Linked DNA regions of Oryctolagus cuniculus. The protein of the gene in region 1 interacts with the protein of each later gene in a pairwise test. Links are inferred from orthologs where the notes say so. Each region holds a gene or a part of one and is shown in the gene's direction. Other genes may lie near its edges.

Region 1 (3,649 bases):
TTTTTATTAAGATATTTTTTCTTGAATTATGTAATACAAAGTAGAACACAAAACTCTCCTAAATGCTGACTGTTCCTTTTTGTTTTCTGTAGGTTTTGTGACTGAATATTGATAGAGGAGCATTTTCTCCAATATCCCCCAACCAGTCTGGGGAGATGTGAACTTTAAAAAATTATTTTTCTAACTTTTCTCTTCTAGATGAATATTAAAACAGGAAGAGGCTGGATAGATATTGGAAAAGCTGTGCGTTCTGATGAATTTTTTGAAGCTGCCATTGTTGTAAGTTACCTTTGATTTTTAGCTGTGGCAATTATTAGTAACATCTGTGGCTGTTCTCATCCCCACATTGTATTGCATTTTTATTTCCCAGGGTCTGGAGCACTTATATGTCAGATTAGTGGAGAGGAGTTACACTGAGGCACACGTGATCATTCAGAAGGTGGCTGTGGAGAAGGACCTCTTCAAAGTCTATTCTCACCAAGCAGAGTCAGTAGGTATCATAGGCACACAAGCCTTACTACGGGGGCAAGTTATAGATGTAAATGCAAGAATAATGAGAGGTAATCTATTAGAAGAAAATCAAATGTCACTGGCCATTTATAGGATGCTATATTTGATCTTTGGATCTTGTCTAATGTCTCAAGGAGACATGACTAATGGTGACTGGATCTGTATGGGAGTGAATGGGGGTAAATGACTAATATATATTTTCAACCACTGCATGTAACATCTGTCATTTATTTGTGGCAGCAGCCTTTTCTTGCAACACCTGTCTCCGTGACTGTCTCTTACATTCAGTCTGTCAAATATTCAGTCAAATATTTACTTGAGAAGAGTCTTTTCATTTGCTGTTGTTTTTCATTTACTATTTTTTTTATTTTAAAGATTTATTTATTTATTTGAAAGTCAGAGCTACACAGAGAGAAAAGGAGAGGCAGAGAGAGAGAGAGAGAGAGAGAGAGAGAGGTCTTCCGTCCTCTGGTTTACTCCCTAATTGGCTGCAATGGCCGGAGCTGGGCCGATCCAAAGCCAGGAGTCAGGAGCTTCACCCAGGTCTCCCACGTGGGTGTAGGGGCCCAAGGACTTGGGCCATCTTTCACTGCCTTCCCAGACCATAGCAGAGAGCTGGATTGGAAGTGGACCAGCCAGCACTTGAACTGGCACCCAAAAGGGTTGCCAGCACTGTAGGCGGTGGCTTTACCCACTATGTCACAGCGCTGGCCCCTTGATAATTTTTTTAAAAATAAAGTTTATTTATTTATTTTGAAAGTCATAGTTACAGAGAGAAAGAGGAAGAGACAGAGGGATCTTCCACCTACTGGTTCATTCCCTAGATGGTCACAACAACCAGTGCTGGGCCTGGCTGAATCCAGGAGCCAAGGAGCTTCATCCAGGTCTCCCATGTGGGTGGCAATTACCCAAACATTTGGGCCATCTTCTGATGTTTTTCCCAGGCCATTATTGAGGAGCTGGATTGGAAGTGGAGCTGCTGGGACATAAATTGACACTCGTGTGTGATGTCAGTATCACACGTGGTGGGTGGCTTTGCCTGCCGTGCCACATTGCCGGCCCCTTGATGATGCTTTAAAATATCTCCTGTTATCACACAATGTTCAAAGTTGTACTTTGCCTCTGTTTGCATTGTAGGTTTCCTCATTTTGTTATAGTTAGGTGTGCATTTTCAGTTGACAAAAAGCAGTGATGAATTTGCTTAATGTAATTATGTAATCCTGGAAATGAAAGAGGCACTAAAGTCATCTAGTATAGCCCCCTTTTTTACTTTTTATGATTTTTATTAAGATATGATTTATATACCATAGAATTCACCCATTTACAATGTTTAATTCAGTGCTTTTAGTGTATTCACAAAATCGTTGAGGCCATTTGCGGAGTGAACCAGTGGATGGAAGACCTCTCTCTGCCTCTGCCTCTGCCTCTCTGTAACTCTGTCTTTCAAATAAATAAATAAATCTTTTTAAAATAAGAGAGTACAATGTGAGATAGGGATATAGCTTCATTTACATGTGGTTATCCAGTTGTCCCAATATCATTTATTGAGAAGACTATTCTTTCCAAATTGAGTGATCTTGATACATATATCAAAAACCAATTCATCATAAATGTGGAGGTTTATTTGTGGACTCTTATTTCTATTCCATTGATCACAATGTCTATTCTTTTTTTTAAAATTATCTATTTGAAAGGTAGAGTTAGAGAGAGAGGGAGGGAGGGGAGAGCGTCCAGAGATCCAATTGTTTGCTCCTCAAATGTCCTCAACAGCTGGGGCTAGGCCAGGCTGAAGCCAGGAGCTGGGAATTCCATCAGGGTCTCCCATACAAGTGTCTTGGGGCCCAAGTACTTGTACCATCTTCAGCTACTTTCCCAGGCTCATTAAAAGGACACTGGATCAGAAGTGGAGCAGCCAGGACTCTCTCTCTCTGCCTATGCCTCTCTTTAGCTCTGTCTTTCAAATAAATAAATAAATAAATAAATATTTTAAGAAGGATTAATAACATTAATATGTGGTGTCTCTTTCATAGGAGCATAAGTTTTTGGGAGATCCAGAAATGTAAACATGCATTTCAGCAGGGTAATTGCCTTGAAGTAATGTGGATGAAGTTCTTCAGTAAAACAAAGGATTAGTAGTTTATTTTGATGTGAAAATTAAGAAGATTGTGAATTTTGGGGGAGTATAAAAGGGACATAAAATAGATATTTTAAATTGCAGAGGAGAATGAGATTTTTTAAGGTTTATTTTATTTATTTGAAAGGCAGAGAGAAAGAGAAAGAGAGAGAAGGAAAGAGAGAGAGAAAGGGAGAGAGAGATCTTCCATCCATTGGTTCACTCCTCAAGTGGCCACAGTAGCCAGGGCTGGACTAGATTGAAGTCAGGAGCCAGGAGCTTCATCCAGTTCTCCCACATGGGTGCAAGGGCCCAAGTACTTGGGCCTTCTTCTGCTGCTTTTCTCAGGCCATTAGCAGGGAGCTGGGACTCAAACTGACATCCATATGGGATGCTGGCACTGCAGGCAGTGGCTTTACGTGCTATGTCACAATGCCGGATCCATTTTTTAAGGTGAGAGATGAAGTAATTTTTAGAGGGATACAGTAGGAGGATATGGCATGCTATAAAGTACTTGAGGAATATGATAGAGTCTGTCCACCTGTGTGGGAAATATACTGCAGAAATCAACAAAGGGGAAAACTCAGTTTTATTGAGCATCTACTATATGCTTGACATAGTACTAGGAGCTGTAGTGTTCCTAATTGCTTAGCTGGAGTGAAGGTCCTATTGAAGTTAGCATAAATTCGTAGAGGGTCCATTTAGCATAGTTTACAGTGGATGACAGTGCCCTCTCTCTGTCTCTCTGTCTCTGTCTCTCTCTGTCACATAAATAAATAAATATAAATAAATAGTCTAAACAAAATTTTAAAAGTAAAATACCGTATCTGTTAACTAAATTCTTCAATTCTTAAATGGCTGACCCAAGCCTCTTCTATAAATGCTTAATAAATCTTTACATATTTATTTTTTATTTGAGAAAATCTTGCCTTTGATGGCTCATTCCCCAGATGCCCCCTGGCCCAGGCAGGGTTGGGCCAAACCAGAGCCAGGATTCTTGACCTCAGAGTGGATTTCACATGTGGG
Region 2 (3,749 bases), on another chromosome or scaffold:
TTCACTGCAGTCTTCTGCACTTGTTGAACTTGGGTTCCACTGAGTCACCAATGGTCTCCATAGCAACAGCATGGGGGGTTCTTCTCCATGTTGCTTGACTTGGTGGCAGCAACTGATACTGACTGCTCCCTGAACATGCCCTCCCCAGGACTTCCGGATGCTTCTCGGCTTCTGCTTGTCTAGCCCCAGGGCTCAACCCTGAACCCTCAGTCTCTTCCTTTTCTCTGCGTTTTATTCACCTCTTCTGTTTTCAACAAATCCCTGCTCTACACGTAAAACAGTCTCGGCGCTCCAGACCTGATTATGTAACCAATACTCAACAAAAGCACCTGAGTCTCTTAGATATTCCAAGTGCAGCATTTCCAAAATGTATCTCTCCTCTTCCAGTTCTGATCTCAGCCATGGTGGCTGCCAAGACAGGAGAAACCTGGAAGTTGGCGCGACCCCCTCTGTCTCCCTCATTCCCCAGTCTTGTCCAGGCCTCCCGATTCCCTGAGCATCTCTCACAGCGGTCTCTGCACCTTCAAGCCACTCCCCAAGTCCAAACCACCTCAGCCTTATTCAGAGTCCCTCAGTGACAGCTGCTGGCCTGCAGCCTGAGTGGCCTTTCCGAAAGCCCACCTCAGCACCATGGGGCTGGGGTTGTGGCACAGCGGGTGAGCCGCATCCCATGTAGGCACCGGTTCGAGTCCAGGCTGCTCCATTTCCCATCTGGCTCCGCGCTAATGCTCCTGGGAAAGCAGCAAAGGATGAGTCCTTGGGCTCCTGGCTTTGGTTTGGCCCAGCCCTGGCTGTTGAAGCTATTTCGGGAGTGAACCGGCAGTTGGAGGATCTCTCTAACTTTGCCTTTCACAAAAAATACAATCTCAGGAGAAGTGCACCACGACCTGTTTCTAGGTGCGGCATCTGCACCCATACTTTCCCTTAAGCTTCATCAGGCCCCCCCATCCTCCCCCTTCCCACTTCCCCCTCCGGTGCCTCTTGAGGGCTGGGGCACCTACACTAGTGATAAGCTCCCTGATCCTGGATGCTGGTAAGGCAACTAAGGATCCGACCATGGACGCTGCTGCTCTTAGCTAATCTGTGCCTCAGTTTCCTCGTGAGTATACCAGGTGTAATAACGGCTACATCAGAGGTCACTGTATTCGTTAATGCCAAGCACTTAGTGTCTAGCCCAAAGTAAACCCTATCAAAACAATTTCCACACAAGTTAGGCATTGGGGGAATACAGTATTGCCTTCATGACAACTACTTCGATAGGGGAACAGCAAGTAATAGTTAACAATTATATGCAGGTTTCATAAGCTGAAGGTGGAAAGTACAGTGGAAAACAACATGGGACGGCCGCGAGCCGCCCTTATCACACCTCTGGAAACCTAACAATCCATAGCAATGGGTGGGAAACCCAGGAGATCCTCCAGACGGCAGGCGGCGCTGTAGCACCCCACCCGCCCCACGGCTGGGTAGGAGGACGCACTACCGAGATCACGTGTCCCCGCGTCTACCGCCTGGGCGTCCACTTGCTTTTTTGCGCCACGTGACTCACATTCTCGGGGGTGATTGGTCCGCGTAATGCACGTGGGCAGGGGCGGGGCGGGGTGGGCTGAGGGGTGGGGCCGAGGGGGCGGAGCTGGAGGGGGCTTGTTCGGCGCGGGGGGCCGTTGGCTCCAGACAAATAAACATGGAGTCCATCTTCCACGAGAAAGTGAGTGTCCGCGTTCGGTGGTGGCGACCGGGGGCCGTGGTGTCGTCGCCCCCGGCGGGCTGGGTGGGGCCTGAGGCGCTCCCCTCCGGCCCGCGCCGGGCGAGGGGCGCCCCTGGAGCGCTCCGCCTTCTGAGCGTGGAGTGCGGCTTCAGCGACTCCCCCGCCGCACCTTGCGCCCCGGAGGCCCCTGCCGGAGCAGCCGGGGCCGTCGCGGGGCGCCGGCGGGGGCGAGGGCCGGGCCGGGGGCGGCGCGGGCTCCCGGGGCGGGTGGGCGTGATGGAGGATGCTGCTCCCCCGCCGGCTCGCTCACACCCGCGGACGCTCCCCTTCGCCCTCCGGCCCCCGGCCCGCTGGCCTGCCCCTCGCAGAATGAACTTGGCCTTGCCGGGGCTTCTCATTCCATCTTGGAACCTCGCAGGCCCCTGGATCTTTGGGGCCGTGTCCGGGAGCCCCTCGAGGGCGGGCACCGTGGCTCGCCTCCAGTGGGGCCTGACGCTTCGGACGTGGAGACCCCGGCACGCCCCGGCGGGGGAGTCCCCGCGGGAGTTGTGATGACAGGATGTTTGGGTGTGCTGGGGTGTTTGGGTGTGTTTCGTGTGGCATGCCCAGATTTCCGGATCGGGCGGCCAGCTCTGTTGTTAGGGGTCGGGGTGGACTGGAATCTCGTTGCGGGCTTCCTGTCTGGCGCTGCTCCGCGGTGGCCGTGCACCTGCGTGCACTGTTTGGGGCGTGCGGAGAAACTCGCCCGTCCTCAGAGGCAGCGATCGGGCGCGAGTGCAACCCTCAGGACAACTTGGGCGCATTCTGGTTTCGTAATAGTTTCGTGTTTGGGAAGGTGGCAGGTGTGGCTGTTAGTAGGAGCAAAGTTTTTGTTTTATTAAATGCTTGGGAATGTTCATTTATCCAAGCTGGTTAGGAAGTCACGTGCGCGCGCACACACACACAGATAAATCCAAGGTGACAGAGGCATGGCGTGAATCTGCAGTGTACATCTAAACACATTCTTGTTCCATGCGGTGCTTTTCTTTATAGGAAGCCGTGCGGCATGTCTTGGAGCTGGACCAGACCAATTTGTGTGTGGTGGGGGGAGACTCAGTGCTACGATTACCACTAATATTTTGGCTTCAATGACGATTTATGAATTTGGACATGATTTAGCTGCTTGGCTAAGGAGATTGGGTGACAAATACACATGTACTTTTTAAAAAAATTATTTAATTTGTTTGAAAGTCTGAGAGACATAGCGCCCATCTTCTGGGTCACTCCCCCAAATGCCCCAGACAGCCAGGACTTTGCCAAGCCAAAGCCAGGAACCAGAGACTCAACCTGAATCTCCTGCATGGGTAGCAGGGACCCAGCAACTTGAGCCATTACCTGTTTGTCCGGGGGTATGCATCAGCAGGAAGCTGGGACTTGACCCTGACACAGCAGTATGGGAGTCGGTGTCCCAGCAAGGTCTTTGAGTGGAAGTGGGGACACCTGAGCCGTGTCAGCTGCTGTCACATGCCCACTCCCTATTCTTATTCCTAGTTTTCAAAAGTTTGGGTGTAGGAACAATTTTCAACATGGAGGACTTTAAACCTCTCCACCTGACTTCTTCTTCTTCTTCTTTTAAAGATTTATTTTATTTATTTGAAAGAGTTACAGAGAGAGGTAGAGCCAGAGAGAGAGAGGTTTTCAATCCACTGGTTCACTCTCCAAATGACCGCAACGGCCAGAGCTGCACCAATCCGAAGCCAGGAGCCAGGAGCTTCTTCCAGGTCTCCCACGTGGGTGCAGGGGCCCAAGGACTTGGGCCATCTTTTACGGCTTTCCCAGGCCACAGCAGAGAGCTGGATTGGGAGTGGAGCAGCCGGGACTCGAACCTGCACCCATATGGGATGCCAGCACTGCAGGCTGGGGCTTTAACCCACTGTACCACAGCGCTTGCCCTTTCACCCTACTTCCTGAGAATTTTACAATGCGCATAATTTTTAATTATATGAGAGGCAGATAGACAGAGTTCCTGTCTTCTCTTTCACTCCCCTAATGCCTGCAATGATTG

The links.
Region 2: the proteins of TEX11 (region 1) and ATXN3 interact in binary tests that used the Homo sapiens proteins (3 or more experiments, as listed by UniProt). The link is inferred for Oryctolagus cuniculus from reciprocal best matches to the Homo sapiens genes TEX11 and ATXN3.

What each region holds. Positions count from the first base shown.
Region 1 is NC_091453.1:50,675,987-50,679,635, reverse strand, and holds part of TEX11 (testis-expressed protein 11), read left to right. Parts: intron 1-198; coding exon 199-279; intron 280-370; coding exon 371-490; intron 491-3,649. UniProt on the Homo sapiens protein: Regulator of crossing-over during meiosis. Involved in initiation and/or maintenance of chromosome synapsis and formation of crossovers.
Region 2 is NC_091451.1:37,353,631-37,357,379, reverse strand, and holds the start of ATXN3 (ataxin-3), read left to right. Parts: upstream 1-1,599; 5' UTR 1,600-1,681; coding exon 1,682-1,705; intron 1,706-3,749. UniProt on the Homo sapiens protein: Deubiquitinating enzyme involved in protein homeostasis maintenance, transcription, cytoskeleton regulation, myogenesis and degradation of misfolded chaperone substrates.